Oryzias latipes: one gene and its partners. Each later gene encodes a partner of the first gene's protein in a complex. Links are inferred from orthologs where the notes say so. Each region holds a gene or a part of one and is shown on either strand. Other genes may lie near its edges.

Region 1 (11,060 bases):
TCTCCAAAGCTGTGCTGTAGTTGTTTTAGCTGTGTCAGCTAAAACAATCAAACTTGCTGAAATGATAGAGAAAACACAATTTGAGGCGTTGCCATTCGTCATTTTACACAAATAAGTGCTCTGCACACTTGTTTAAAATGTCATGATAACATGCTGTAATATTTCTAAAAATCTAAATAATCTTTGTGAATAAACTTTACCGATTGATCTAGCACAGATACGCAAAGACAAAACTTCCACAGGTTGAATTAATGAATCCAGGGGGAACCATGTTAGGACTCACTGGCTGTCAAATTTGGAAACCACAACTGCCCTTCTGGGTGGATACAGACTTACAGTCCTACAGGCACTTACCTACACCCCATGCGTGCCGCATTTGAGCGCAGCCAGCAAGTGGCCTGTGTTTGACCCTACTGATGACTAGTGTGGCATAAGGGCATCTGTATCACCTGTTGTCTGAGTCATGCAACTACCTTTACCTTACAAATACATCCCAATACACTTACCACAAGGCAGTCATACGTTTTTATGATGTCCCCCCAGGGAACTACACGACACACCTGTGCTCCCCTTAAGATGCAGCCGCCACAACCCTCTACGCACGCCGACAACCCAAAAACCGGCAGCACCTGTCCAGGTGCATGTGACTTAAGCTTAAACGGCATCTGAATCGTGAAATCCTGCAGAGCCCCGATAATGACAGCCAGCTGAGTTTGAGCAAAGAAACATCTTCAGGCTGATGGACAGCAGTCTATGAAGTTTGAAACAGGTTGACTAAACCATTCATATGTTGCTGGACCACCTTTAGCTTTGATTATAGCCGTCTTTCCCCATGATCATTTTGACAAACCTCGGCAAAGTCACATTTCTTCCTGCCTGAGTTCCATCAAGCAACAGGCCGTCTTCTCAAACACATCCCAAGGATTCTCCACAGTCTGGACTTAGTGGAGCTCAATTCATGAGTAGAAAGGATTTGGTGAATCCCTGCATTGTCATCTTTGGAAGCATTGTCATCACAACCTCATTTATTGATGATGCTGAACCTCAACCTGAACAACTGCAGCGCGTCTTCCGTCCCAATGGAACAGGTTCTTCTGGATCCATCAGACAGCATCACTTCATTTCTTTTTCCCTGGAGATAAATCTTTCATCTTCTTAGAAAACTGGCATTTTTCCTTAATGATCAGCGTGACTCCAGTGGGGTTTTTTTTTTTGTTAAAGCCACTTAACAAATATTTTAGACCCTTCTTTCTGTTGAAACCAGAAGCTTCTCACTGCTTCACTTGGGGTCAAATTAATAACTCGACTTAAGTTGAAACATAATCCGTGCAGCCGTTCTCTGAGGTGAAACGATTACCCAAAATGCCTGGTTAAATCCAGGTGGTGACCTTTCCTGGTCAGACCATGTGATTCAGCTCTAGTGTCTGAAAAAGGGCTCCGGTTACCACTGTGGATGAAGGAAAACACCAACTTACAGATCCTTTCTCGATGACTCGGTTCAGCATCACCACGCCACGGCTCCTCTGCTCCCACACCATCTCCCAGAAGTGACCACATGTACTTGGAAGGGGTCCCTAAAAATAAAAAAAGCTGCTTTAACCACTTGTCTTTATATTTATACTAGGGATTTTTCAGAACATAAAACATCTTTGGAGTAGTTTCCAAGAAGTTTTATTTCAAAAAAGAAAATAATTGAAGAAGAAGAAAAAAAAAAAGCTGCTTCAACCACTTATGGCTTTATCTTTGAGACTGTTCAAAACATAAGAACATAAAACCTCTTTGGAAATGTTTCCAAGAGCTTTCATCACATAAAAATACAAAAAAAACAAAAACCTCACTGTATTTGTCTAAAAGGAATCAAATGTTCATAAATCCAACACAAAAAGGGTCTTTTTATGTGTCCTTTTTTCCCCTCTTTTAGTCCTTTTTATTCAAATGTAAAAGCATTTTAAAGTATTTTATGTTTCAATCCATAAACCAAAAACTTTTACCAACACATACTTGCTTTTACACAACATCTCTAGTTGTTGGGATCATAAAAAAAACCTACAAGTCTTGTTGACACTAGAAAGTTCTGGACCAATCACAGAGCAGCAATTAGACCAAGTAACTCCACCTCCCTCTAATCGGCCACTTTTGATATTTTGCAATAAACATATTTTCTCTTATAAATAATAATACGAGCCTTTGTAGATGATCCTTTACGAGAAGACATGCCGCTGATGCGCCAGCCTAGACCATTCCTACTAGAGATGGAAACTCTTCAGGCGTGTGACCATCATTTATAGGGCAAAACATTGCATTTTTCACACGCTTTTGTTTCCAGGACAGTAGCGCCATGACTTTTTAAAAGCAAGTATGTTTATTAGGGATGCACAGAAATGAAAAAATTGTGACAGAAGCAGAACAAAGAAAGGAAAATGCTTGGCCGAACACCAAATAGTTACTGAATATAAAAGGTGGATGTTGAGTTTTTCATTATATTTATAAAAATTGGAGAAATTTTGGACGCTTTTGCTGCAAACTGCAGTTCTTAAAATACCTCTGCACTACTTACATTTTACACAATAAACAAGATCATTGATGCACATTAAGTAACAAAACTTTGAGCCCACCAAAGGCTGAATGTGGCTATTTTTTATTTTTCTTTTGCGATTTTCGTTGAAATATATTCAGTTTTAAAGTATTCAGTGCATCCCTAATGATTTATGAACCATAGCAGCCCCTTGCAGGTATTCCTTTTCACACAAGAGGAAACATATCTCTAACCATTGTTTGGTGCATGTCGCATTACGTTACTGACAAGTGACTGGAATCTAACATTTTTGCCGTTTTGTCAGCACGTCTGTCTCTAGATATGTACACAGGCTAAACGCAGGACGCCTTAAATCACGCTTACTGACTTTCCTGTTCTATTATCAGTTACAATGCTTTAAAAATGGTCTAAAATCTACTTTCACACACATACTATAGATTCTAGAAATAATACAAAGACAGTTATGTTAGACAGTGGATAAAAGCTTCTTGACATCCTTAAAACAATCCAAGCTAAACTTTTTGTTAAGGAATAAGGAAACTCCTGCTCTGTAATATCAGTCTTGTTAAAACAGATATTTTTATCATGGCTGTAATCATTTTGACATTAACTCTGTGGGAATATTTCCATACCTGAGTAAGAATATAGTTCCTCTGTGCCTCTTCAACTGTTATTAGGCTGGCGTTGATGTAGTCATTTGCACCCAGCTGCAGGCATATTCTGCTGTGGTCAACTGCGGAGAAGGACGTCCAATTGTATTTCTAAATCAGCAACAAATGGTAAAAAAACACGGCTCTCCAAAGGTTTAAAATGAGCGGTCACGGAGTTTCTGAACTGAGAGTGAGCGTTGTGACTACGACAGAACCTCAGAGCACAACTGAAAACAGCGTGAACTGGTTTCAGGTTCCCCATTTTCACGTCTGACTAAAGGTGGGGAATACAAACAGCAAAAATATGCTTCACAATTTGCATAGCTTCTTTAATGTGAAAAAGAGGAAACCACTGAAGTTCAGCTCTTGAACTGGGAGGTTATATTTCATTTATTATAATACATTTTGAATGCATTGTCTGAATAGTTCCTCCAAAATGATTTTTTTTTTAAAGACAGTTTTGATTGGTTGATTAGTTTCACCAAAAATATTTGGTAATCTGTTCAAAATTAACTAATATTATTGGAATTTACCCATCTATATTTAATATGTATGAGTAAAACAAGAGAACTTTTTATACTTAAATGGACAATGTATATATTTAGGCTGACGGAAAGCTTGTAAGTTAATCAGAAGCTAAGGTAAACATTTTGTTCAATCAGTTACTTTTATATTAGCTGGTGAATGCAGCCATTATTACCAATGATGCAACCACTGACTAAATAGATGGATGTGTTGATAAACACTGCTATACATAACATTATAGTATTTGATATTGGCTGTAGATTAAATTACATACCCCTAAATGAAACATCTAAAAACTCTGTAATGTTGTGATGTGTGAGGCGTTACTTACAGGGGCTGACATCTCTGTAACGGTTCCGATTCTTGTTTTCGGGTAACTTGGCGATCTTACAGGGAAGTTCACACGATTGTTGCCGAATCTCCTGTTAAGATAAAAAAACAATCACATTTGTTTAACATTGTCAAAATGTTAATGGTGCCATTTTTGTCCTTTATAACTGCATAAGTGTGTGAATACTCCGAAAAAACGATCAATAATATGTCATATAACAGTTATCAATCCTTCTCAAATAATAATGTGAATAATTTTTTTCTGAGAAATGCTTTTTTAAACGCTGAAAGTGTCATAAACTTAACAGCTATGGTGCAAAAATAATTTAAAGCTTTAAAATGACATGTGTTGAATTGCCTCATGGGACGTGCTGCCGGTTTAGGACCCGGGCAGACACATCCATCAACAAAAAAAAGGTCCGAGCACCAAGCGGAAAAAAAAGAAAGAAAAAAAAACATGGACCGGCCACACAGGGAACAAAGCCGGCGGTTAGTTAAAAAAAATATACGGAGAAACACGGGGACTGAACTGTACGACTCTGCTCATGTATCGTGGCGAAAGTGAGAAAAATGTTGGCTCAAAAAGTGACAGCTTCACCCATTGCTGCTTTCCACCTTGACATGTCGAGAGTTCCTACCTGATAAATGGCGTTCCAACTCCCGTTTTCATCGATTTCTAAAAATTCGGCTTCCATTGCTTACGATCCAGCGGACAGTCTTTTTGTTCTCCTCAATGATGCGACAGCGACAACACAGCGAAGATTAAACGAATGAAACTTGAACAGTTTCCTGTATTAGCTGCCAAGTGTTTGGCCGTTGCGATTCTTAGTACGGCTGCATAGATTATACCGCGGCTGAGCGGAAACACGCTGCTAGCTCCTCCTACCGTGTAGCTGACGTCCTTGGTGGCTAAAAAAGAGTAAAGTGAGTTTTTAGGCTCCAGTAAAACAACTGCTTTTGGCTGTTTTGGCGATGTAACTCGATTTTTAACTTTTAATGCAACTCTTTCCCCTTTTTAAGCGGTCATTTTACCACCCCCACAGGAGTAACACAGACAGGCGAGTGCGCGCCGAAGGCATCTTGTTTCTGGAAAGAAGAGCGTCCGGCTTGACGGGGAGCGCGCACGTACATTTACGTAGCGGTCTGTTTACGTCCAATCTGAGGGGGTCGAAGCTTCAGTTTGAGCAACGAAAGTGTTGCTTGTAAACACCGCTTAGCGCCATAGCATGGGGCTTTTTTAACATTTCGTTCATGAAAGTCCTTCCAGAAGCCGCATGTAGGCTGACTTAAATCATGCCGTGATGGAGTAATTATTTATTTTTCGGACAGCACGAGCTGGGACGACAGACTTTGATGCTAAGGCTAGTACAGTAGCTAGGAAAGCAACTTAGGTGTAGGGGTTGAATCAGCCTTACCGCAGTGACAGGTATTACGCACAATTTTTCGAAGTTCTTACTGTGTGTCGCTTTTATGTGCTGTCTCACTCTGGCCGTCAGTGTACTTCATGTGGCTCTCTTTTCCAAAGTTTCTGTCTGTCTATGTTAGCCATCAGCTGTCGCTGGCTACTGCTGCTAGCTAGCCCATGTGTAGCTATAGTTATTGCCTCCCAGTGGTGGAAAAAGTGTTCAGGTCCTTTAACGGTAAGTTGTTTTAGCAATACTAAAGTCACAGTGTTAATAGGGATCATATTTAACATTAATATCGTGGTTATAAACCGGGGAAGGTCTTTTGTTATCGGGTATTGTGGGAAAAACTGCAGTGAATAAAAATGTTTTTTGTTCTTGATTTTTATATGACACTGCAGTTGTATACTAATATAAATTAGCTAGTCTGCCGCGGCCGACTAAATATAGACAATTGCTTGCCTCAAAAATGAATGAAAGTGCTTGATAGTGTTTACTGTACGTTTGTTCTCCTTGGTTCTCTGTTTTTTTGTCTTCAGCCTCATTCATCATACTCCTAAGCCCTTTTTTTAATCCTTCTATCGTGGTTTATAAGAAAATGCTAACCATTAAAAGATGGGTTTGTAGTTTCACTCATTGGATTTAGTTATTTAAGTCTTATGTTTAAACTTTTAACATGTCAAGTAACTTACCAAATCCTAGTGTCAGAGTGGTTTATTACTAAATTTAGATCAAAGCACCTATTATCTACTGCTGCAAGTAGCTGTTCATACAGTCTTTAAAGTATATGATTGGATTCACGTGTATGTATGCATTAAAAAAGGGATTTTACACCAATGTTGTCATGTTGATACTCAATGATAAAAGAGGAAAAAGGATTATGGTGCACTAAAGTCAGATGTCAAATTTGACATAATGCATTTTTGATCCAAGTAAACCTGCTGCAGCAGGAGGATCTTTTTTTTTTAACTTAGGGTGTACTTTATTTTGAAAGAGACTTGAATGTGATGCTGTTAAAAGTAATAGAAGTAAAATTGTTACTGAAAAATTATTTTTTATAAATAAACAGCTTAATGACCACAAAAACCTAAGTAAGTGTTTCTAAACAATGAAGTGGGACTTTGCGGCTCTCTGTGGTTTTTGGTTGGTAAGAACTGGACTAAATGACTTATTTAGCATTAAGGTTTGCAGACTCCTGGTCTGAACAGTGATCATCTTTGTCCCTTTAAGCCACTAACATTTTATATTTCGAATGTTTGTAACGTTTATATTTAAAATAATAAAACGGCCAATTTGTCAAAGACACGTTGATTAAAGCAGTTTTGTTTGTGTCAGTTGTTTTTGTATGTCTTTTAAGGCTGCAGGAGCACATTGTTAAAAGAGAATGTTCAATGAGATGCCGTATTCACAGAGATTTTCTGTATTTATTCCTTTAGACTCTTGTGGAAGTTTGAGGTCCTTGAGGGATTCTCAAAGCAACATGGCTCCTAAAGACATCATGACCAATTCCCACGCCAAATCCATTCTCAATGCCATGAACTCGCTTCGCAAGAGTAACACACTCTGCGACATCACTCTGAGGGTTGAGAATACAGATTTTCCCGCCCATCGGATTGTCTTGGCAGCCTGCAGTGACTATTTCTGTGCCATGTTTACTAGTGAGGTAATAGTCTGTCATCTTCATCAGTCTGATCATCAATCCCTGTTTTTCACCATCTGTGTCAAATGTACTTCTTATGTCATTATACTGATTAAACTGATGTGTTTCAGAGTTTTGAGTAATGTTGCTTAAAAAAAATGTTAAACTAAACAAAAAGAGTTTGATTCAATGTGATAAAGATACTGTAGCATGCTCCTGCCACTTGAGGGCAGTCTCAGAAATATGAGAAACATTTTTCTGAATATAGATAAACTACAATAAAACTTTTCAAAGTAGTATATTACTTTCTAAAGTGACTTTTTTTTCTTAGTTTTTGCCCTTTTAGCCCCACATCTGTTATGTGTTCCATAAAGTACAGGATTACAGCTTAAAGATAAAAAAAATCATCCAGTTAAGCCTTTGTTTTGGTCCTCCAGCTTGCAGAAAAGGGGAAGTCTTTTGTTGACATTCAAGGACTGACTGCATCTACCATGGAGATCTTGTTGGACTTCGTCTACACAGAAACGGTGCTTGTCACGGTGGAAAATGTTCAAGAATTACTCCCTGCAGCCTGTTTGCTTCAGCTGAAAGGTAATTTTAATGCCTGTTCTAATGGCTAAATATAAAGATTCTCCAGAGAACAGGCTTTATAGTGACATATTTATCGTCTGTCTAATGCAACAGACATGAAATAAAATAGCTGAGGCTGGCTCTACTTGCTAGGAGCTGTTACTGATAAAATACAAGAAAAAGAGATGGAGGACACACAGAAAGTTAATAAATGTTGTTAAAAACATTATTGGGGTTAGAGGTATAAGACACATTCACTTTTTTTTATAATTCTCTTAAAAGTACCCAGACGTGTGTCTTTCTTTTTAGTTTGTTTTTAGTATTCTGTATTTGTATTTGGAGTAAACTTCAAAAACAGAATAACAGACACCTCTTTATTAGAAACAAAACAAGAATAAAGTCCTTCCATATTTGTTTAAGATGGATGAAACATTCACAAGTAAATCTCATAATTTCAAGTGACAAGATTATTTTTTTGTTATTTATTGAAAAAACAAACATCTTTTATAGTCTTTAGAAGTTTAAATGTTAGTTAAATGCCAAAAACAAGCGACTAAAAATGAAATCCCAGTGAAAAAGAAAAAGAAAAATGATTTGCAGGAACCCAGAAGAACAATTGCAAGGTCTAGCCTTACCAAAGAACACATTTGTACCTATAGTTCTGTCATTTTAAGGAACATTTGAATGTTTTTGAAACTTTTGCAGCTCCACATATAGTTTATACCCTTCTATAACTTTGTTGTGTCTATGGAGCAGAAAGTAGCCGCTGTTAAAAAAAAAAGAAAAAGAAAAAGCAGCTTTTACATCTTGAAATTCTATTTTCCTGAAGCTCACATTTTAATTTTGGATTTTTACGTTTTAATCAATTGACATTAACATGAATTTAATTAAACATCAGTACAATGTTCCCTCGTTTATCACAAGACTTGCATTGTAATAATAGCCCACAATCGACAACATTAGTCTTTTTCTTACAATCGTTATAGATTGTCACTACACACTTTCTTCACTTTTCTCAGACAACGTGAACATTTTCACAATTGTGTCTCTTGTTTAAACTCTCAAAATTCAGATCTTTATAGAAAAATTAGTCCAGGATTATAAAATTATCTGATTGCCATTGAAGATTTATGTGAAGAAAGCAGGACACAATTTGCTCTTTAAAAAAATGAATACATAAAAAGACACTCAAACATGCACCAAAACATTCTGCCAAGCAGAGACACAAAGATGAACAATATAGCAAGGAACACTGTACTGACCAAAGAAACATTGTTTCTCTGTTTTTTGTCTTGTTTTTAAATGTCCTGACTGACCAAAGTAACTAAAAATGCATCATATGTGAGCAGGCTTTCATACCTGTGGAGTCTGCATCACCATTACTTTTTTGGTTGTCTGCAACGTCTGATTGTGCGCAAAAGTCACATTTAAGATTCTTTATTTTGCTTTTAAAAGGTGTAGTTAGTTGTCTTTGTCTTCTAATATAAAGTCATTAGGAGTCTGTTAAAGTTATTTAGTCTTATTGTCTTTTCACAAATTGTCAGACATGCGAAATAAACAGTGTAAATCCTGTTTTGTTGTGTTTGTTTTCCTTGAAATGATACTTAAAGTGAATTTGTCAACTGTGCTTGGCTCTTTTTCTTCCCTCAGGAGTGAAAAGGGCCTGTTGTGACTTTCTGGAGAGCCAGCTGGATCCCTCCAACTGTCTGGGTATTCGAGATTTTGCTGAAACCCACAACTGCCTCGACCTGATGCAGGCGGCTGAGCTCTTCTCACAGAAGCATTTCTCTGAGGTGGTTCAACACGAGGAGTTTATGCTGCTGAGTCAGACAGAAGTTGAAAAGCTCATAAAATGTGACGAAATCCAGGTAAGGAAAGCAAATGTCTGCAGCCTTGTGCCGTCTTTTTAAATTTACTATTTACTTTTTTACTCTTAGATGTTCCGAAACATTTCGGCGAAAGAGTGCCACAAACGGCCCATTTCACCTCAATCGTCTGCACCACTGAAGAAGTCATTATTGTAATTACGTTTCCTCAGGACTGGCTTAGCTTGGCGTGAATTTAGCTCGTCTTTCACAGTTTTCTATTGTCTGTCAACACCTAAATAAGACAAGAGTAAAGCGAGCACAAACCTGCAGTAAACTCATGGAGGTCACCCCCCCCCCCTCCGTTTTTTAACTGGTCTGACAGTGAAATTGTAGAGAAGTGAACCTGATTTAAGTTTGCCTTTGTACTCAGAAAATTCCTGTTTTCCAAACCCCATGCATTGCTTTGTGAAAACACTGCTTATTATCACCCGATGATTTATAGAGCGTCATTTGTGTCAAATTGTTCGTCCTGTCATTTCTGTTGTTTTAGAAACTAGACTGCTGATTCAAAAACAGTCGCACATAATTTGCTGTGATCTGAGGTTTTTCTTTTATGTTCAAAACGTAAAGACCCACCATTTGTTTATGCCGATTATGTTTTTCAAAGTGTACATAGAAATCCCTTTATTCTTTCTTAAGTTACTGAAAGGCTGACAATAGTACAAAAGTCAGGAAATAGTCCATTTTAAATATGACAATAGCACCACAACTGTTGACCAGAAACATCTAACTTTAGTGGACTACAGGCAGAATAGCTTGATGTGTTGCAATAAAGTTTGGCATCGTTCTGCCCTAAAAAAAAAAAGTTTAATAAGTAAAAAAAATAAAAAAAAGTTTAAAAAAAAGAAATAGCTTCCAGGAGAACTTTTTCGAAAATTATTTACAAAAATGATCCCCTATAATGTAAATTTGAAACATTATTATTAAATATGTCATATGCAGTTTTAAGGCTATTTAATCTATTTAAACATATTCTTTTTTTCTGATTTGACTGTTTAATTGGCTTCTTTAAAGACCCAGAAGGTTTCCTAGAGGTCTTTTAATTATGATGATGTCGTTTTTACCCCAAATCTAACAGTCCGTGTCGTTTTCTAGAATATAGTTTCTGCAGAAGTTAATCAGAAATTCACCTGTGAGATGCTGGCGGGACTGTGGGAGCGCAGGAACCCCACACTATTCCCCTTCCCCACTAACTCCCAACTTAACATCAGTGGTGCAACAGAAACGTGAGCAATATAAAGAAAAACTCAGAAATGCAATTTCAAGCTTAATTTTCTTTGTCTATGTGCTCCAACATCAGAAAAATGCCACAAGAACATGTTAAAAACAACAAAAACACAATTTTCGTTGAAGAGCGTCTTAAAACACAAACTCTAGTCTTTTAGGGCTGCTGTCCAATGTGGTTTTTCATTTATTCTGCCCCTGCAACTTTATTTTAGCAAAATGCACCAGATCCAGGTAATCAGCAGCAAGTAGGATAGTAATATCTGAATAAATACTTTATAATGAAAAAAACTTAGGGGAAACATTGCAGATCCT
Region 2 (10,972 bases), on another chromosome or scaffold:
TTTCATGAAATATTTCCACCTTTGTCATGGTAGGGAGAACACGTCAATGTAAGGGTGGGGTCATATAAGATAGCACAAGGGTTAATATATGTAAAATTTCACTTTTTTTGTAATATAAAAGTACAAATAAGTAATTATAAATGTTTATATGACTTTAAAGTGATTAAAAAACAAATTATACAAAAAACGATTAATGTTTACACTTTATACAAAGATAATTTGTATGAAAGTAGGTCACAACAGCAAACTGTTAAGGCGTTCACAATGCAGCTGTCACCTTCACCGGGCAAGCCCATCAACATTTACTAAATAAGGCTACAGTAAACAATCACACACCATGTTTGTGACAATATTTCAAGCACTCTGACAGCTATCGTTTTCCCCACAGAAATAATAAACAATCAAACTCTATTCTCCATTTGCTGCAGATACCCTTGGACCCCTCTGGAGTCAAAATCCACCCCTTTTAAAAAAAAAAATCTTTTCGTAAAAACTCAACAAGTAATTCTTAATTTTCACTTTGATATATAAAGTGAGATTTTGATTTGGAATTTATATTTCAAGCAATCAAAACGAAAACACACGAAAAAAAACAGACAAAAGAGATCTATTTATAGAAATATCAAACTTAAAATAACTGATCACGGTTTGATTGAAATATTTTTTTCAAACTGATACATTTTTATATAAATATGTCCACATAACTATTTTCATTATTCTAAATCATAAAATACATTTTTGCCCTGAGATGTAAGCAAATTGACAATAAAAAAAAAACTTTGTTAGGTTTTTTAAAGATTTTTAAAATACATATTAAAAAAAATATTTGAAAATCATGACTTAAACAATCTTTAGTTTTTTAATAAAAGCTGCAAAGCAGAAAAACAACTTTAATTTGTTTTAAATCTAAAAAATAACTGTGAACTGTGTGCATCCTTTTTTTTGTATCTATGATATAATTTTTTTTCTTTGCAAACTTTCAAAGACTGGCTAAACATGTACAGTTGATTGTCCTATGCCGAGAAGGAAAGACAATTTGTAATAAATTGGCAACCTAGCACACATAATTTTTGATTTGGAGGAGGTATTCTTGTCATCTATTTCTGGATTTTTTTCCACACTTTAAACCGTGTCCTAGCTTTGTGTTCAGGCTGTTCCTTCATGAGCAAAGCATGCTTTCACTTATGTCAGGCATGTAAAATGGTTGTAATTCATAGGCAGTGCCATGACCAAAGTTGCACTAGTGATACCTTCACCGCAGTGTCACATGTCATCAGGGGGGGTTCAGTGATGTGTGCATGTGCACTGTAAACGAACATCTAAATTTGCAATTACAAATTTAGATGAATAATGTGTCACCAGCTTCTCCTCATACAAAATTTACGAGTTTGATGTTTACATTTGTGCTGCACCTTGGGAAGTTTGCACTGAAAGGCTGGATCAGAAATAGCGTATCATTTCCTCCCATGGTATCGTCTCTTTTGACCCGCTGACATCCTTAGGCGAAACACAGCCACCATCAAGGGTCGAGCAGATTAACAGAGATGGTACTGCTGCGCGTTTTAAAATTCCAACATGGATTCATAATTAATAATACGTTGCTTCCACCGGTGTGCTTGTTCAGCAGATTTGCTTTTGTCAAACACATGTTCCAAACACAAACAAATGTCTGCTTATACAAGAGACCAATTTGTAACAGTTCTTTGAAAAATGCATCCACAAACTTAATTAAAAGTCAAACGTAATTTAAATTTGAGAAAATAACAGTTTTGACGATTTTATCTAGGTCTGAAGTGGTTTGTTTCTCAATCTAAAAGTTTTAAAGCCTTTTTACTTGGTTTCCCTCTACTTGCCCAAAAAAATATTAAACGTGCATTTGTTGGTAGTAGTACTTTTGTTAGTTCATTATTTCTTGTTTATGTAGAAATTGTCAAAACTCTGACTTTTGCTACGTGAATTCCTAATGGAACCAAAAATGTGTCAGAAGATGTATGAAAAAAAATGTTTCAACACCGCCACCTGCTGCATATTTTTAGATAGTACATCACAAAAAAAGAACACAAAATAAATGGATTTTAAACATCAGTGCCAGATTTTATAGTTCCATGTATTTGTTTTTTTATTTGCCTCTTTATTGCCAAATAGAAAAAAATAGATTTCATCCTAAAGCTTACTTCACCGATTCAACCCAAAGAGAATGATAATGAAAGTGACACACCCAGGGAGGAATGGATGTCAAGGTAATTAATCCTTTTATCCATCTGTTCTCGGTTTTTTATACCCATCCTGTTTAAGATCACAGGGTGCCTGAAGCCTATCCAGGATACAAGTGGTCCATCCAAGGCACGTGAGCTTTAAAGGCAAATGTAAACATTAATTTCTATTCACTTGTATGTAATGTGTACTTAACTCCTTAACTTTTGGAGTGAGCTCCAGATTGGATGTTTGATGCATACAAAGATCCTTTATTATAAAGGCACACATGACTTTGTGTTAAACTCAAGAGAAAATTTAATTTATCAAAATTCAAGTCAATTTGATTCCTCCTTCAATCTACTAACTCTAAAAAGTTACTATCAATTCCTGTTTTTGCAGTCAAAATTGTAATAAACAACTGTTTTGTAGTTCTGATAACATGTTTCTACAGTGAGATGTGAACCACTTTATTACATAAACGTAGACTAGTATGAATTCCATCCATCCATTTTCTTAACCAGCTATGTCACTTTCAGGGTCGCGAGGAAACATCAACTCCATTTTTTTAAACAGGCAAAGTTTCCGATCTGCAGGTTGCGCACAGGTTAATCAGTAATTAAAACCATTTATAAGTCCTCTGAATTTTGTTAATATGTAAGGGTTCATAAAACTGCAGGCACAGATTTTAGACTTGACTAAGAATTACATTTTCTTTTACCGCATTTTGTAAACATTTCAGTGTTTTAACCTCCACTAGGCAGGTCTTCAGTGAAAGAACTTAACCTTTCACCTGACTTCTCTTTTCTTATCCACCTCTTAAAATGCTTCTGATATTTTCCTCTGGTGGTTTGGTAATGCCTGCTTTCGTGAGGCCTGCTAGCTATCTGCTCTCACCCCCTCAAAAAATGCTTTTGGCAAAAAAACATCTTTTAACTGAAAGCACTTAAGTATTTTATAACACATTAATCCGTACAATAGATGACAAGTCAAGTGAATTAAATCCCCTTTATTTGTGTGATGAACATATTCAGGAGCACAAGTTCCTAATTCATGGGACAAATATCCTGTAACTTCAATGTTGTCTTTTAATGATTTTAATCATAGTCTATATACCTGTCAAGGTTTTTGGAGTAATTCTTCACAGTAACCAAACAAGGTGTGGCAATGGAGAGTACAGTTCCCTCTGAATGAAAAAAAGAAAGAAACCTCCTGGAAAAGCAGGCTATGTGAGACCAATTATCTGCCCTAACCGGTTTTGACAAAAGAGACAGATAAGCACAAAAACAGTGGAAAATCAGTTCTGACATCAGTAACTGTAGCATTGACAGAACAGGGTAAAATTAACGGACCGAAAATCCAGAGAGCAGAAAAGATATGTTAGTCATTACAGCAGTGAAAGAACATGAAGCAAAGAAACTTAAAATCACAGGAGAATTAATTCAAGCCAAAAGAGATCAGTTAATTACTAAAACAATGAGAGAGCAAGAAGGAGACAGACCGACATAAATACACTGAAATCTTTTATAAAACAAAAAAATTACATTAACAAAATCTACATGCAGATGAAGGACGTACAGTAAAAACATTGGGGCCAAATACGGACACAGCCGTAACAAGGACTTTGTTTTTATATTGTGTAGTGTGTTCTAACAAAAACTTAGTTTGTAACAGTTTTCATTGAATGAAATAAAGTGCATATCTATTAAAAGTTTCTTCATCAGTTATTCACATAGCAAAAAAAAAATAGAAAAAAACTTAAAACAAGGCGTCTGTAATTAAGAAAAAAACTTTTTATTCTTAATTGTGTTTACCTTTTGTCAGTAAAGCAAACTAATTCTGCATTTAGATTTGTACCCTTGGGAGTTGGTCAGTGGAGGTTGCAGTTGAATACTAATGAGTCCAGAGTTTAATAATCTCTACGAAGACAACATAAATCTCAAAAAGCTTACTTAGACTGAAAAGACAAACATTTATTTAAACAGTTCATTTATAGTGTCGCCAGTTTAAATTTAGAGATCTTTGTTTAAACTTTACTTTTTTCAAAAATATTTGACATTTTTAATGAGTAACTATGTCAAATGTTAAATAAGTATTAAACCCAATTTCAAATTTACAGCATTTTAGGTCAAATTCCTCTAAAAACAAGAAAATATTTCAACGAAATGTCCTTTTTTTCATGTTCTGATGGAAAACCATGACTTCTAAACTCAATGTAAGAAAGCAAACAGAAAAATACAAATAATACAAATACAAATAAATAAATAATTTGAAAAGAGTTCTTACAAGATGAACTTCATTTTAACAGATTATCAGGAGCAGACAGAGTAGAAGAGGGAGGGACAGAGACAAAGAAGGAATGATGAGAAAGAGGCTTACAGAGAGTTCACTGTTAGAAAACAGAAAAGCAAAGGAGCGTAGGTAGAACACCCATTTCACTCCACATCTCAAGAAAGTCAAACTGTTTGCTGCAGACAGACAGCTTCATCAGTACATGGAAAGAATAGCACAGGAGAGTTGTGCCTAAAGGCAAACAGGGGCTTAAAGGCAGCCATACCAGAGGATTCTGTGAGGAAGAAAACCAATGATGGATCTGAAAGTAGACAGCAGGAGAGCTAAACTATTAAGGTATGGTAATTTATGGCAGCTTTTAAAATAATCAACATTGTCATTTTTAATAACTTATCTTTCATTTTTTTTGTTAACCACTTTTAGTTGGTTTGTGTTCCTGGTGCTTGTATCTCATAGTACTGTGAAGCAAAGGTGCTGATATGATATATCATCTCTGCCTGAAACAATGCAGGCACCCTTTTTCCATGTGAGGCTGTACTTCCTCATTTATTATTATTTTACTTTGTGTAAAATCATTAATTATTATTTTTAACAGTGGATTGGTGTTCAAATCACAATTTTTTCTCATAAGGGACAATTTCATTTTGGCCTTTTGTTTGACTGTGAGATAGTCAAAGATATGCAAATGTTTGCTTTAGACAAAAAGTATTATTTTCCCAGCAAATGTATTCAACATAATCCTTGTCCAGCTTCACATGACATTTCAGAGTCTTCGGGCGTCACAAAGCTCACTCTGTGTCATACACAAACCCTCCGTTTGTCCTCCCCAACATCCCTCTTTAGCATTTTAAGTCCCAACTTCTCTCAGTAAGAAACCCTCTCTGATCAAGGAGGAGATTTTCAGAATATTTCCCAACACCCACAGAACCCCCAGCAGCTTCAGAGATGTTCATTGCCTCAGATTCCTCACAAAGAGGCGATTGTTGTTATCCTTTTTACTCCGAGGCTTGCGGGTTGGAGATTGTGGTTGATTTAGACTCAGACTGCTGATGCCAAACCTTACCAAACCCTGTGGCAAGTGTGGGAAAACTCTCATGATGTTCTTATCTATGGGTTCATTTGTGTGTCACAAAGGTCAAAAAAGCACAAATTTCAAGATTTGATTTGATTTGATTTGATTATTTGAAGTATTAATTGTAGTCATTATAACAAAAAAATGACACAGATATAACAAAGAAGGAATATTGGTAATCATATATACAGATTTTTGCAGTAATACATAAAAAACACATTTAGGTTACATTCGATTCATCAAATGTAACTAAAGTCAAGTAGAGTTTGATTTATTGCTTGAAAAAGAGTGGGAAGAAACAAAATAACACAATCCTACCCCTACTGGGTTATTACATTTCATATTTTGACATAGTTGTCATAATCCGGTTCTTATCAGACCGAGTCCAGATTTTTTTAAATAGAGTGCTTATTGACTACCCTCACAAAATATTCTTTCACAATTGCAGTAGGTAATAACATTACTTTTTAAAATAGATTCACTTGGACTAATTTTTTAATTGTTTCATTTTATCAAATTGTTATATTTCTACATTTATTGGGGAATAGTTTTTAATTTTTAGAACAAGGCAGAAAAATTTCACATAAATTATCCCTATATATGAATATAGGAGTGACAGATACCTAATGTATGAGACAAATGGAACTATAGCAAATAAGCTGATTAAATTTTAAGAGAAAACATGAACTCAATATGCGACTTCTCTGTCCTCACAGCATACAATTTCATTTTAGTTCTTCCATCCACACGATGTAGTTCTGCAGTCTAGCAAACATTTCGGACCTTGCCTCTTCATACCAGCCTGCCCCATACTGCCAGATTAGTTTCACACACTCGGGGCCCCTCCCTGCTACCACGGCGACGCAGCTGTCACCTGTCAGTTCCATGGTGGGGATGTCCGCTGGCCTGTTATGGCTCAGAATAGAATTGTGGGAGAGTTTTGCAGCAAGTGGGAGAGCACCACATTAAATTGATGAATTTTTGAACAAGAAGAAAAGAAATCTCAACATTATGGGAATGCAATGCATGTTCCTGGGAATGCTGGGAGTGACTGGCTGCTTTTTCAAGAAGAGAGTGCACTGGTAAGGTCTTATATCTTTGCAAAAACAAGCCTACTGTACGGTATATGGGTAGCAACTGGGGGTTGTTGCTAAGTCCTGCTAGGAACTTCTGTTTTATTACACATGTGGCTAGAAAGGGGAATTGATTCATCTATCTTTGGCAACTAAGAAAAAATATTTTTCTTGTTCACTTTTCTGAATTTTTTTCACTCCTTGACACTTTTTTTCTGAATGTTTTTGTGTAGAATGGATGACCAGGACAGAGTGAGCCAAGCATCTAGTGTGGCCACAATTTCCTACTTTCCTGTCATGACGGTTTGCTTTCCTTTTTTTGAATTTGTTTTATTCTAAAGAAAATGCAAGTGTCATTGTGTGCTTTTAATTCTGTGTCATGTTGTAAACAGGAAAACGATGGAAAGGTTCAAACGTTTGGGAAGAGATGTCAGGCTGCCAAAAGAGACCCTAACTGTCCTGTGGTCATTAGGGGATGGCTAAACAAAAAAGTACATTTTTTAAATAATTATAATGAAACATACAATGATACAAATTTCATGTGAAACAGTCTGAAAGTTTCCATATTGTATTTTTACCTTAAAAACTGTCTTTTTGGCAGGATAGCTCTGGTCTGAAGCTTTGGAAGAGAAGATGGTTTGTGCTCTCAAACTACTGCCTCTATTACTATAAAGGTAGGAGCGGTGACAGCTGGATGTTTCTATCTTAATTAAAAACTATGAACAATGTTTTTTTTCTTCACACTGCGTTTGTGTCCTCAGATAGCCGAGAAGAGTCGGTGTTGGGCAGCATCCCTCTACCAAGCTACAAAATCCTGTTCTGCACACCAAGGGAATGCAAAAACAGAAAGTTTACATTCAAGGTATCCTGCATGTTATTATTGTTATTGTTATGGAATCAAAGTCCATGCTAAATGTGTATGCGTTAGAAATCCCAAGGCTGTGAAGCTCTAAAACCTGGAAGCTAAGAAAGTTTGCAAAGTTCACGCTTTTTATGGGTCTTGAAATGTTTTCCTAATTTTTATAAAATATTGCTGGATATTTTGAGAACTCTTGGTGGAGCTCCTACTGTACTTTGCATGAGTCAGGAATGTTTCATGGTGGAAATGTTTTCTGAGAATCCATTATTACAGGCGAACTAATGCTCTGTAAGTCAATTGGAGTTTGGGTAAAAATCCTGCAAATCCAAATTTTAAAATCCTTACCCCAGCTGCTGTGAGACCTATGTGGACAGGTTGACCAATAATCAGGCCAACCTAAGGCCAAACCAGGCAAACTATGAGACTTTCCTAAAATCAATAGGTAACTTTAAGCAAATATTTGCAAATAAGAGTAGTTTTTGGAGCGCGGGGCAGCAAACATGTATTTTATCAGTGATAAGTTTCATTTAGCCTATTTTCTTTTGTACATCTGTCCTAAAGGTGGTGCATCAGGGCATGCGCTCCTACTTCTTCAGTGCTGACACTCAGGAGGACATGTTGGGTTGGGTTCGAGCCCTCAGTCAATCTGCTGCAATGGAGTTGGATGCCACAATTAATAGGTACAGCTCACGCTTGTGAGGGGGACTTTTTTTTCCTTGATAAAAGAGAATGTCTATGATTGTTATTTAACAAACCTTCTGTTGTTTTTGATCCTTACAGGCGCTGCTCGAGTTATCAGGATTTTACCTTGATCAGTGCCAGCACAGAATCTGTAGATTTTCCCAAATCTCCCTCAGATGAACTGAGTCCCTCTCAAAAACACAAGCATGTCAGCAGAACCCTGAGTGAACCGAGCCACCTCGGTGGAAGAGTGGGGAGGTCACACTCGGAGCAGAGGGGCAGGCGGAACATCCATCACAGAAACAGAAGGTTGGTAAAGCGGATGACAAATCATCCACTTCAAAGCAAAAGAAGTTTGCTTTCAATTTTCATATTTTGGTTTTTCCACAGCCCTTCAAACCGAACACCAAGCCCTACAGTTTCAAGCAGAAGAGCTGCAGGTCCAAACATGGAGGAGGATTCTCCTCCTGATGAAAACACAGCAATGCCAACAGAAATCAGTGGAGCAAATTCTTTAACATCAAGAGGACAGCTGGGGTCACGACCTCATACGCCCATGGGACGCGTTGACATTCGCCCCCGTGATGACCCAGTTATTGTGCAGCAGACCCTGTACTATGCACCTGCCTCACCAAAGCCAGAATACAAATCTGCACCAACCACTCCAGTCACTGAAAGGTGGCAAACCAAGGTGAGAACTTATTTTTTAGAAGTTTGGAAAACACAAAAACTGAATCAAGTTTTCTTGCTGTTACTTTGTTTGGCTACCTTATATGGTTCAACGACAGTTTCATAATATGTACAAGTTTGATCTAATGTACCATAAAAAGCTAAACATGTCTTTATTAATCGATCAGAGACTTGAAAATGTGGTAAAAAGGCTTGTATATGTTAAAGGTGGGCAGCTTGAAAAATTACTTGTTCTGCACAACTTAGGTTAAGAAAACTCTTTAATTCAGTATACTTCATCTACTATAGCATTCTTCAAAGCACATTCTTCATTTTGAATATTTGTACAAAGTAAAAAAAATTTAAAAGAAATAAATCTTACAAGATATCTGTAATTTTACGATTTTATCAGATTGATTGTTTTTTATTTCTTTCTTCAAAGCCTGCACCCATATACGGGGCTGTCCACCATGCAGCTAGTGGACGAAGGCCTCTGGGCAAGGTGACTATTTAAAATAATGCAATAATATAAAAGACATTCATTCAAAAATTTTCAGAAATTGTGCAGCTATTTCATAATTTGACTGTTAATTCAAACATGCTTTAACTTACGCTGCACAAATGCACAGTACGTTCAGTCAAGCATGAGAGGATTTCTTTTTATATACTTGCTGTATCTTCCTTTAGAGCCTCTCTACTGGTGCAGACTTACTGCCCCCTTTACCCCCCTCATCACGAGCTGCACATGCTCTTCACCCACAACAACACCACCAGCGCAGCTTCGTATCTGCTTGTATGCTACCGGCAGCTATGGTACAGACATGCTGGCTGATCTGTGCTCTGTTCTCGTGCCGTTATGTTCAGTGCAATTTAATGCTACTTTGTGCTAAAATAGATTTTATTTTATATTTTGTGTCTAATCTTATTTTATTATTAAAACCTAATCACATTTTTTGTTTTTGGAAGTATAGGATGTACCGGTAATTGAATTCAGTGTATTTACTAGTAGTTGTATTCATTTTATTTCCTTAAATTTGTTGAGGGATAAACTTAAAATGTGGTTGTGGCTTACTCAAGTTTGTGCAGCTTGTGTTCTGTTCTCTAAAAAAAATCAATAAAGTTTTTCTTTATCGAATACACATTTGTATTATTAATGATAGAAATTTCAGAAAAAACTGTAACAATACATTTTAAAATTTCATAGGCCTCAAATCCGGACCCGAGGGAACTGCTTCCAATCCGTCCACTTGAAAGCGATGCAGATGTGAGTGATGTCTGCCTAAGACACGACTGGAAATTAACCAGAATGCAGTGGAGCCTTCAAAAATGAATGACACATTTCTTTTTGAGAAAAGATGAGTCGGATTTTTGCTCTTCAGGCTGTGCTGACAAGGCTGTGTGGGTGCGACAAGCTGTTACAGTCTCTTTCCGGAGAACTGGCTCAGCTACAAATTGATAAGGTTGGTAGATTAAATGTATTTACAAATTGAAAATATTATTTATCTGGGGAAAAAATAATTAAGCTAATTTAGTATATAGATAAGCTAAGAGGATGAAAAAAGTCAAACGTATTTTAAGAAAAATATAAAAGGAAGAAGACATTTTCTCCAATTTGATAATTAATGTAAGAGAGAACAAGTATGATAAATAAGAGGTTTCTTGTGTTTCAGGACAGTGTCCAGTGTGCGTTGGAAGTTTCTCGACTTCAGGTGGAAGACTGGAAGAACCAGGGGCCACGGGCACTTGAAGAAGTTCTGACCCAGAAAGCTTTGCTACAGGATGAGCTGGTCACGATCCGGGCGAGAATGTGTGATGTGTCACTGGTGTGTAACAAAACAACAGTTAAGAACAAAAATTAAAGTTACTGTACTTATTTCTGTTGAATCTGCTTCGTAATTTCAATCAAGACAAAATTTGACAAAAAAATATTCAACTTTTATATGTTTTTTTGTTTTTGTTTATCGTGATTGTGCACAAACCTTTTTACTTTTACATTCAGGAAATGGAGAGGGTGTGGAGTCAGTATGAGAGAATGGAAAGTGAACTGTCTGTTATCCGTTCACACCTGCAGCACATCTGTAATTTTGGAATGCCACAGGTAACTTTTTATGACACACCGGAAATCTCCAAACG
Region 3 (10,954 bases), on another chromosome or scaffold:
TCAGGTTGTTTCTGGCAGAAAGTACAGCTGGTGTTTATGTCAGCATTAAATCTAATTAAATAATGTTTTGCTGGATAAAATCTGTGTAGGAGTTTAAAAGACATTTCTTTGATTTTATTTGTTAAGCAGTATTTTTATGGTAAAGACCAGACTTTTTTCCATTCAATGTTAGAAGGGAAATTAGCCCAATAAAAGGTAGCTAATGGAACAGAAACCAAATGATCTTGGAACAAAGCTCTGATTTTTGAGTTCCTCTGTTTAGCAGAAGTGAAGCAGAAACTACCCAGAGGAGATTTAAATGCATCAGGAGGATTTAGAGGAGGAGCGCTGTAGAAATCCCTCAATGACATGCAAAGCCCAGACGGTACGGCATCAAACACTACTGCAAATTTTTGGGGGGTTATTGGTATTTTATACTGCATTGTGAATTCTGAGTGGTTATGTAATAATCCTGGTTCTTTGAATAATTGATTGAGGAAAATTATACCATTATTAAACCAGTTACTTAAAAACAGAGTTTTGTATTTATAGACAATATTACAGGTATTGCAAATAATACAACTCTGTGGAAAAAGTTGTGTTTGCAGATCAGTGCCCAGGCTAAGAGAACCTGTTGATGAAAATTTGACAGTTTCAAAGGGATTTTTGGAATACTGTAGTTACAGCCTAGCAGGTCTCCTAACTTTCAGGCGCAATAGATGAGTTTTTTTTTTTTAACTTTATTGAAGATATACAAGATACAAATTCAAGTCAATTTTAAGTACACAGACAAAACAAAGAGTAACAAAATGTGCCAGGGGAGCATAAAGAACAAAAGAGAAAAAAAAAAATATAAATAAGAGCAGAAAAAGCAGCAAGTTGCTATTCTGTACATTTAAAAAATTCCAGGGTTTCAAACGTTCTTATAGCTTTGGGGTTGGAAGAATATTTTATTGCTTTGATATATTGGTTTAACTCAATCATAAAAAGTTTGAATAAGGGCTTTTTTTCAGAAAATTTGCATTTATGTATGTGGAATTTGGCTAGTATTATCAAAAGGTTAATTAAATAGTATTCCCTTCTTAGTGAATTATTAACACTATAAAAACCAAATAATACATCCTTGTATACCAAATCAAATTTTTCATAAACTTTACATCGAACGAAGGAGGTGAAGTCTTTCCAAAAAATTGCTGTTGGGGGGCATTTCCAGAAAAGATGTATAATTGTTTCAGTGTCTAATTTACAGAAGGAGCAGTTTTTATCAATGTCTATGTGGAGTGAGGATTTGGCTGGGTAGCATCTGTGAAGAAGTTTAAAACAAACATCCCGGGGTTTATTTGAAATAAAATATTTAGAGGACAAAGTCCAAACTTTCTTCCATTCAATATCTGGGGCAAATTTTCTCCAATAGTGGGTCACATATGGTACAACTGCAATATCTTTCTGAAACAGTGATCTTATTTTTTTATTTCTTGTAGATGTTCTTGTAAAGCAGGTCTTACCAATATTTGTTTCAAATAAAGAGACTGAATGTGAGGGCAAAGGGTGAACAATACCTTTAAATAACATTATAACGCCTTTAGGAATAGCATCCATGACTATTGCAAACTCTTTGGGGGTAACTGGAATATTATAAGTGGTCAAAAATTGATTATATGACATTAAACACCCTCCTGAGTCTCTTCAAATTAACAACAAAATTGAAACAGATCATAAAATTCTTGGCTCATTTTGCTCTGACTTTTACAACAAACTTTACTCTTCTAATTACTCAGAAATTAAAACGCGTGAGCTACTAGATTCTATTAAACATTGTAAGATTATCAGTGAAACACATAAAAAACTCTGTGATGCCAGTATAACCTTAGAGGAAGTGCAAGATGCTATAATGATTCTAAAAAAGAACAAATCTCCCGGTAATGATGGATTGTCAAGTGAATTTTACAAAAACTTTTCAACAGAACTTAGTCCCTTTATCCTGGAGACGCTCACTGAAAGTATTAATCTGGGAAAACTACCCCCTACTCTAACACAAGGTGTTATATCACTAATACCCAAACCTAATAAAAATAAACTACAAATTGATAACTGGAGACCTATCTCGTTACTTAATAATGACTACAAAATATTAGCTCTAATTTTAGCCAAACGAATTAAACAAACCTTAACATCTATTATAGACGAATCCCAATCAGGATTCATGTCTAATAGACACATTACTAATAACATCAGATTAGTTTTGGATTTATTGGATTATTCCGAACTAATAAATGAGAATAGTTTTATTCTGTTTTTGGACTTTTATAAAGCCTTTGATTGCCTAGAACATGAATTCATTTATCGATCTCTAGAAAAATTTGGGTTTGGACCATTTTTTATAAAAGCTATTAAAACTCTCTACAATAATTCTAACAGTACAATAAAACTTAAATATGGTACGTCTCCAAGATTTCAGGTGGGTAGGGGGGTACGCCAAGGCTGTCCAGTGAGCCCTTATTTATTCCTGCTAGCAGCACAAATGCTTGCAGCTTTCATCCAGGAAAATAACATCCATGGCATTTCAGTCGCTGATAAATACATTCTTATGAGTCAAGTTGCTGACGACCCCACTCTTTTTCTGAAAAATTCAGATCAAATTCCCGTTGTTATCAACCTTATTCATAAATTCTCAGAAGCTTCTGGCCTTAAACTTAATATAAATAAATGTGAACTTTTACCTATTTCAGAATGCGATCACTCAGTTTTACATGGTATACCTGTAAAATCACAAATTACTTATCTTGGAATTATGATTTCTAAAAACACAGAGGATAGATGAAACCTAAATTTTAATCCCATAATTGAAAAGACCAAAAAGAGATTTAACCGCTGGCTTCAGAGAGATATCACTTTAAGAGGAAGAACTTTATTATCCAAAGCTGAAGGAATCTCCAGATTAACATATCCAGCACTTGCCCTCAATGTTAACGCATCCACATGTAAAACCGTTGATAAAATGCTTTACAAATTTATTTGGAAAAATAAAACTCACTACATTAAAGATAAAGTGCTTTTGAACACAATATAGACGCAGAGGACTTAATGTCTTAGATTTCACCACCTTAAACTACACCTTTAAAATCAATTGGATTAAGAAATTTCTTAGCAACCCAGATTCCTTATGGAATTTTATTCCAAACTATATATTTTCTAAACTCGGTGGACTCCCTTTTCTTCTCCAATCTAACTATAACATTCAAAAGTTGCCCATTAAATTAGCAAATTTTCACAAAAAAAAAGCTTCTGGCCTGGTCTCTAATCTATAAACATTCATTTTCTCCTCACAGCTATTATATCTGGAATAATACTAATATTTTGTACAAAAATAAAATCTTTATTCTTCCCTTACTGGTTTCAAAATAATATACTCTATGTAAATCAACTTTTTAGCGCAATAGATGAGTGACTCATTGTTGAAGTATCACCCTGACGTCAAAAAATGGGAGGGTAAAACAAACGCTTTCTGTCTCGCTGTGGCCAAAGGGTTTTTATTTTTTAACCAATCAGCAGCCGCGCTAAACAATGTGGGGTTGATTGACATAGATATTACCCAATAGGAGCCCTACCCTGGCTTGAGACCCGTTGGTCCTCGCGGAAGTGGAGTCATTCAACGGAAAAAATTAAATCATGAGTTTCCATTACGGTCAGGTACAGAAATTGTAACTTTTTTGATTGTTTTTGTTTCTTTCATCTTCATGTATTTTAATGGTATCGTTTGTGGTAGACTTTTTAAATCTTTGTAGCATTTCGCTTCATTAGCAGGGCGTTACCTTGTCAGCATTCGTCACACAGTAGTACGCTTGCTAGCTTCGAGTTCGAAGAAGTGTCGTTTTTATTTTTAAGAAAACATATTTCACTCATAAATGCAAATCATTGTAACAATAGAATCGAGTGTATTTGAAGATATGTCATCTGTTAATCCAAGTCTTTGACCGAATCATTTTTAGCATGGACACTTCTGTTCTGGACTTTGATAAGTTTCCTGCTGTTTTTCAGTTTTTGTTTTATATTATAGTAAAACCTAACTTTGCAGTTGATTGATTATCCAAAAAAGCAATTTATTTAGTTGTTTTCCCATTGGGAAAAAATGAGCTTGTGTTCTATTTATTTAGGTTATCCTTTTGTTAATTTATAGTCGTTTATTTTGTGGATTTAGTAAAACGAGTCAAGAATAATTATTTTTCATAATGTGTGGAATCATAATGTGCTCTTCTGTATTTTCAAATATTGAAATAAAACGTGTAACAGAAACATAAATTGAACCAGCTTGTTTACAGTTTCATATCAACAAAGATGCTTTTATTTTGGAATACATTTTAACCTTTATAATCGTCGTATTGATTCACGTTCTCATTTACTGCTTCTTTTCATCTCCTTTGCCTTCCAGGGCTATCCAGGAGGGAGTAATCCCCCACCTGGAGCTCCGTACAATGGAAGTAGCAGCCCCTATGGGTCCCGACCCTCTGGTCCTTATGGAGGTGCTGCGGGGCCACCAGGAGGTCCCTATGGTGGCTATGGAGCCCCAAGTCAGGGTGGGCATTATGGACCTGGTGCTCCTGGCGGCCCTTACGGCGGCTACAGGGCTCCTGCAGGTGAGAATGAACTGCAACTAAAGAGTTTTTTCCAGAGTGATGCAGGAATCGACTCAACGGGAATTTCTGGGATTCAATAACGAACACTCTGTCTCTCATTCGTCTTTTTTTGCTACCTGGCAGAAAGAATAGATAGAAAAAGCTTTGGGTTCCCAGACAGTTTTTGTCCCTCAGCAGGACTTCATAGCTGGACTGATGACTGGTAATCTGGAGTGAGGGATGAACAGGGCGACAGACAGATGGGCAGATCGTGCGGGTTGCTTATGTGTAATTACAGTTTCCATTGGCAACTAAGCCCAAGTCTGAAGCCGGTAGCGTGTGTTACCGCCGCTCCCCGCGGGGACAGAATCCATCACGATCTGGCCTCAAGTGTCATCTCACCATCTCTGCCCATTTATTTTTCTGACAATCAGCCATCGCTCTTTTGTGCAGCATATTTTTGAAGGGCTCCTTTCATTTCTTACCGTCTGCTCAGGTAACAATGACTCGTTTTTTTCCCGGGCTGATCTTTCAAAAACCTTTAATTACATGTTTCCCTTAATTTCAGAGGCACTGAGTGTGGATATTAGAAACTCTTTACATCTGTTTTGTACTTTTAATCAGACGTTAACAAAGTAAAACTCAGATTTTATTTTTTGTATGTGGAGAAAATTGTTATTTTCCACTTTTTTTCTAGGACTTTTTAATCTTAAAGGCTGCGCCCTCTTCAGTTTACAAAACACAGCCTTTCTTGTCTATATGGATCATCATTTCAGCTGTCACTCCAAGGCTTTTTCTTCGTCTGAAAGATAATAATTGTTTAGCAGTGTGGCATGATTGCATCTTCTCTGCTGGAGTGTTTTTTTTTGCCCCTTTTTTTTTAAAAATCTACACAAATATAAAGAGTCTGTGATGTGAATTTATTATTATTATTATTATTATTATTCATCTGTCACTCGTGTTCCCCTCCGTGTAGCTAACACGCCCCCTGGGGTTAACCCCGAGGCATTCCAGTGGTTCCAGAGTGTTGATACAGACCGCAGCGGCTTCATCAACCACAGCGAGCTGAAGCAGGCGCTTGTCAACTCCAACTGGTCCACCTTCAATGACGAGACCTGCCTCATGATGATCAGTAAGTCCCACCGCTGCATGAAATTCAATGAAAATGACTTGAAGGGATGCAATGAAAGGAGGGGGCAGGTCTTAATGGTGGTGGGAAACGGACAGTGAGCAAGATTGACACTGTTTCAGCAGTTTTATGAATGATATTCAAAGTTCCTTTCTGATTATCGTTTGATCCATTTTCAAAGCGTTCTGTGGTCTTTTAGGTATGATGATGCCGTTTTTAGGCAAAAATCTTTTTCTAGGACATAGTTTCTGCAGAGGAGCAGGAGTTTGTCAGAAATTTGCAACTGAGTTGTGGGCGTGACGATTGGCGCAGAGCAAGCACACCTCCCCCCCCCTTCCCTTCACTGTTGTAAAGACCTTGGAGCAGGGAGTTTATTTCTGTCTTCCATCATTAGAAAAATGCAGCAAGAACATTTTAAAATCGACATTTTCATCAGAGCGGGTCTTTAAAGCAAGCATTTGTTTGGACTCTCTTAAATGCTTTTTAAAAAGCCTAAAGTTCTTGTTTTTCTCAATCTCTCTCTCTCTCCGCTTCCTTCCTGTGCTACTGTTTACCGTCAGACATGTTCGACAGGACGCGGTCCGGGCGGATAGACTTGTACGGCTTCTCGGCTCTGTGGGACTACATGCAGAGATGGCGAGCTTTGTTTCAGCAGTACGACCGAGACGGCTCAGGGTCCATCAGCGGCACTGAGCTCCACCAAGGTATCCCCACTTTCTGCAAAGCATGCCCTGCATTTTGCCTTCTAAATCCTCGTTTTGATTTTTTTTTTTTTCCTCCACAGCTTTAGTGCAAATGGGTTACAACCTCAGCCCCCAGTTTTCTGAGGCTGTGGTGCAGCGCTTCACCATTAGAGGCGTGCGTCCTGGTATCCAGCTGGACCGCTTCATCCAGGTGTGCACCCAGCTTCAGACCATGACGCAGCAGTTCAGAGAAAAAGACACAAGCATGACGGGCAACGTCCGGCTCAGCTACGAGGACTTCCTGTCTGGTGCCATGACGAGGCTCATGTGAAACCAGTCTTTGTCCCAATGTCGGGGAGCAACCCTCAAGTCACGTCAGATACGGTTTTTCTGTTTTGCCAAAAGTGCCTGCTGCACTGACTATGTTTAAGCACAGCCAACCCACACCCCACAAAGCCCTTCCTGCAGAAAGATGAGCGTGAAATTCATCATAGACAGGTTGTTATTACTTTCTAATATTCATCACCTGAAGGTGTTAAGTAAGAGTTAATGGCCGACGAAGTGTGCATCATCACTTTTTAACGCACGCCATGGAAGCCTGAACCGCGGAGGACGCTTGCTTCTGCGAAGTGCGTTAAAAAGTGATGATGCACACTTCGTCGGCCATTAACCCGCTTATACCATGGCCGCTTACAAAACAATAAAAATATTGACCAGTTTTTAGTCCTTAATTCTCGTTTTTTTCCGATTTGGATCGCTTTTCTCACAAAAAGTAACAAATAGTCTGCGTTGCGCCGCACCACCGCTGCAGTCAAGATTCGGCTATATATTTATGCTGATCATCACGATGAGTTGAATAAAGCATCAGTTCAGAGAGAAAGTTCACCTCTTACCGCTTGTTTTTGTCCAGATGATGAAGCTAAGCTAAAATTTTAAAGAAGCCAGCGCAGTGATAAAGAACGTTTAAACTATGTGATCGGAACTTCTTTTTTCACCGTGCGGTTATCCTGTGGTATATCACTTTTTAATGCACACCCAGCACCCAATCAGAATCGAGTATTCACCCGGACCATGGGATAACCTGGGGATGATGATCAATAACAGGCTGTTATTAGCTAATATTCGCTGTTAAAAATGGTTAGACTAATAGCAATTGTACATAAATTTCTGTGGTTATATGATGCCTCTTTCAGAGTAAAACTGACCAAATACCAGTGTCTCACACACTGTAGAGGACAGGAGACTAAACTCCTGCTGCAATGAACTCTGGGTAGTTTCGATTTTTTTTTTTTTTTAATCCAAATTTTTTTAATCCAATTTTTACTCTTATTTTCAACATGTATACTTTAAATTTAAATCCACTCTAAAATAAAGTCAAATTACATATTTTCAGAATTTACATCTTCTTTTTTTAAACTGTTTTTTTTAATTTAATCTCTTTTTGAAGTAACATTTCAGGGACATATCATCTTATTAGTAAGACGTAGTATTAGTGCCACTGTGAAAGAAAAATAATATTAATATACGAGAATAAAGTTGTAAAATTATGAAGAAAAAAGAAAACTAGAAGGAGCTGCATTTCCAGAAGAAAATGCAGGGTTGAATGCTGTACTGCTGAATGAAAGCTGAATTAGCTGAAGAAATGGCTGAACTGTACTGGAAAAACCTTGAAAAGTTAAAGGTGCAAAAGTCCTAGCAGGAATAAGCTGAAAAAGTTGAACATTGTAATAGTAGAATGGCTAAAATAGGTCAAAGTTTGTAGAAGGAGTTAAGCATGAAAGCTGAAAATGTTGGAAAAATGGCTGAACTGTCCTGGAAATCCTGGAATATTTTGAAAAGTTAAAGGACCAAAAGTCAAAGGTGAACATTGTAAAAGTAGAATGACCAAAACAGGTCAAAATTTGTAGACGGGAGTTAAGCATGAAAGCTGAAATTGTTGAAAAAAATGGATGTACTGTTGAAAATTTGAAGATGATGCTAAAATGGCTAAAAGTGCTAGCATCAGCATCATCAACTGACTCAAAAAACACATTGTTTGAGAGTATCATATTGGTAAAAGCTACATGTTCTAAGTTGATAGAAAATCCACTTTTTTCAAAATGGCGGCTTTTCTATTGATTTTATCTCCATAGCAACCATGTTATGTTTGGGTCGCCTGGGGATGACGAACAAATCGACGTCATTTTCAGACAAATCGGAAAAAGTAAACTTTTGGATGTCCTTAGCAACGAAGTTTGTTTGCTAACCACACCCACATTCCTTATATGTGCAGATCCAGTGAATTTCAATATGTTCAGTTCCAGCCATGGAAGAAGTTTATTGCAATGGTCACCTCAGAACTTGTCAAAAAATGGCCACCAAACAGGAGGTTGTGTCGACATCCCATAATTATTTCTAAACTTATTTTGTATTCCAAAGGCTTGTGATCATTTTAATGTTTGAACGGTGTCTCTAGGTGAAAATTTGAAGGAGTTTGAAATCGCCTCACATTTTTGCACAAAATGGCCGCCAAACTGTATGTGTGTTGCCATCCCATGATAATGTTGAACCTTATGTTGAAGTTTATAGCCTTGTGAGCATTTTAATGTTGGAACGGTGTCTCTAGCTAAAAGAATGTTAAAGTTACAATGGTTTAAAGAAGCAAAGGTGTGGCCAATGGAGCAAAAATCTTGGAAAATCCGGGAATAACCGGGAATATCTGGAAAAGTTCAAGGATTTGAAGGACAGAATGTCATAGCTGGAATAAGATGAAAGAGCTCAACATTTTAATAGTTGAATTTTTAAAACAGGTGAAAAATTGTAGAAGAAGTTTAACTGTGAACTTCTGCACAAAAAATTCCCCATGTATTTTAATGGAGCAAAAATTCCTGGAAAATCCTGGAATATCTTAAAAAGTTGAAGGATTTGAAAAACCAAAAGTCATAGCAGGAATAAGCTGAAAGAGCTGAACATTTTAATAGTTGAATGGTTAAAATAGGTTGAAAATTGTAGAAGGAGTTAAGTGCCAAAAACGGCGGAAGATAGCAGAAGAGGAAAACAAAGGGGTGAATGCTTTACAGCATTCAACCAATGAATGCTTTACAGCATTCAACCAATTATTTTCGATGATGCCCTAAAGCTGCGTCATATATAATTTTTCAGGCTTTTACATAAAAAAAAGGAAATTCTTTTTAAAAACAAATTTTCTTGTGATGAAATTCCACGTTTTCTTAGAGCAGAGCTGTTGTTTGCCCTTCTGACAATTTCTGTTGAGCCAAACTGCACAAACGTTTACCCGGCAACAGCAATGGCAGGAACAAATGGAGGCTCACTGGAAGGATGTACATCTGCTGACCTGCAGCTCTGAAACATTCCTCTGCTAACAAAAGGATTTAACTTGAATAAAACATGAACACAAAAAAATAGAGCTACTTAATGTCTCCTGAAGGCACTTTGATGCTCACAAAGGGCATTTTGTCATCCAAATATTACACAACGAAAGGTCACATGATGCATTTTACTGTCATATAGTTTTGCTTTTTAATTCTGGAGGAGGACATAAGAAAAGTTTCAAATGGCAGAAAGATGAAAGGAAAATAATGTTTTATTTCCCTTCTTTTGTAAACAAAATCTTCATGAACAAATTTCAACAAATCTTTTTTTGTTTTGATGTCATAGAAATGCACGGCTGTTTGCAATAAAAAAATGTAAATAATTTGTGTTTTTTTATTTTTTATTTAAAATATATTGATAGTTTTTCTATGCTTGATTGCTCTACGAATCATGATCCTGAGTGTTAAAGAGTTTAAGGTTTAATCACATCCTCTGATCTCCATCCATCCATCCATCCATCCATCTTCCTCCGCTCATCCGGGACCGGGTCGCGGGGGAAGCAGTCTATGCAGAGATGCCCAGACTTCCCTCGCCCTGGCCACTTCCTCCAGCTCCTCTGGGGGGACCCCGAGGCGTTCCCAGGCCAGCCGAGAGATGCAGTCTCTCCAGCGTGTCCTGGGTCTTCCCCGGGGCCTCCGCCCTGTGGGACATGCCCGGAACACCTCTCCAGGGAGGCGTCCAGGAGGCATCCGGACTAGATGCCCGAGCCACCTTAACTGGTTCCTTTCAATGTGGAGGAGAAGTGGTTCTACTCCGAGCTCTCCGCGGGTGACCGAGCTTCTCACCCTATCTCTAAGGGAGCGCCCAGCCACCCTATGGAGGAAGCTCATTTCAGCCGCTTGTATTCCGGACCTCGTTCCTTTGGTCATGACCCATAGCTCATGACCATAGGTGAGTGTTGAAACGAAGATCGACCGGTAAATTGAGAGCTTTGCTTTTTGGCTCAGCTCTCTCTTCACCACAATGGACCGATGCAGCGACCGCATAACTACGGACGCCGCTCCGATCCGCCTGTCAATCTCACGCTCCGGTCTTCCCTCACTCGTGAACAAGACCCCAAGGTATTTAAACTCCTCCACCTGGGGCAGGGACACTCCACCCACCGAGAGATGGCAAACTACCTTTCTCCGGTCAAGAACCATGGCCTCAGACTTAGCGACGCTGACCCTCATCCCAGT

Evidence for each region.
Region 2: the proteins of klhl12 (region 1) and pleckstrin homology domain-containing family A member 4 are in contact, whole or in part, in a crystal structure (PDB 8OIO), measured with the Homo sapiens proteins. The link is inferred for Oryzias latipes from reciprocal best matches to the Homo sapiens genes KLHL12 and PLEKHA4. Residues at the interface, in NP_067646.1 of Homo sapiens: Phe289, Arg320, Glu417, Tyr434, Ile439, Phe481, His486, Cys511, Tyr512, Tyr528, Leu533, Cys558; in NP_065955.2 of Homo sapiens: Pro177, Gly178, Gly179, Pro180.
Region 3: the proteins of klhl12 (region 1) and pef1 are in contact, whole or in part, in a crystal structure (PDB 8RBH), measured with the Homo sapiens proteins. The link is inferred for Oryzias latipes from reciprocal best matches to the Homo sapiens genes KLHL12 and PEF1. Residues at the interface, in NP_067646.1 of Homo sapiens: Phe289, Gln293, Arg320, Tyr321, Leu371, Glu417, Tyr434, Ile439, Phe481, His486, Cys511, Tyr512, Tyr528, Leu533, Cys558; in NP_036524.1 of Homo sapiens: Gly15, Gln16, Ala17, Pro18, Gly19, Ala20, Pro21, Pro22.

Annotation. Positions count from the first base shown.
Region 1 is NC_019865.2:21,836,907-21,847,966, reverse strand, and holds the start of klhl12 (kelch-like protein 12), read left to right. Parts: upstream 1-5,115; 5' UTR 5,116-5,467; intron 5,468-5,566; 5' UTR 5,567-5,623; coding exon 5,624-5,681; intron 5,682-6,880; coding exon 6,881-7,107; intron 7,108-7,520; coding exon 7,521-7,674; intron 7,675-9,303; coding exon 9,304-9,521; intron 9,522-11,060. Other genes in the region: ptpn1 (tyrosine-protein phosphatase non-receptor type 1), read right to left, coding at 1,476-1,574, 3,169-3,269, 4,043-4,133, 4,680-4,736. UniProt on the Homo sapiens protein: Substrate-specific adapter of a BCR (BTB-CUL3-RBX1) E3 ubiquitin ligase complex that acts as a negative regulator of Wnt signaling pathway and ER-Golgi transport.
Region 2 is NC_019877.2:8,351,280-8,362,251, reverse strand, and holds the start of pleckstrin homology domain-containing family A member 4, read left to right. Parts: upstream 1-4,644; 5' UTR 4,645-4,777; coding exon 4,778-4,821; intron 4,822-6,863; coding exon 6,864-6,933; intron 6,934-7,022; coding exon 7,023-7,121; intron 7,122-7,231; coding exon 7,232-7,304; intron 7,305-7,391; coding exon 7,392-7,492; intron 7,493-8,050; coding exon 8,051-8,169; intron 8,170-8,269; coding exon 8,270-8,861; intron 8,862-9,281; coding exon 9,282-9,341; intron 9,342-9,526; coding exon 9,527-9,652; intron 9,653-10,043; coding exon 10,044-10,103; intron 10,104-10,218; coding exon 10,219-10,299; intron 10,300-10,509; coding exon 10,510-10,662; intron 10,663-10,818; exon of another isoform or gene 10,819-10,838; coding exon 10,839-10,937; intron 10,938-10,972. UniProt on the Homo sapiens protein: Binds specifically to phosphatidylinositol 3-phosphate (PtdIns3P), but not to other phosphoinositides.
Region 3 is NC_019869.2:13,799,356-13,810,309, forward strand, and holds pef1 (peflin), read left to right. Parts: upstream 1-3,565; 5' UTR 3,566-3,648; coding exon 3,649-3,669; intron 3,670-4,408; coding exon 4,409-4,613; intron 4,614-5,568; coding exon 5,569-5,724; intron 5,725-6,281; coding exon 6,282-6,425; intron 6,426-6,505; coding exon 6,506-6,735; 3' UTR 6,736-7,962; downstream 7,963-10,954. UniProt on the Homo sapiens protein: Calcium-binding protein that acts as an adapter that bridges unrelated proteins or stabilizes weak protein-protein complexes in response to calcium.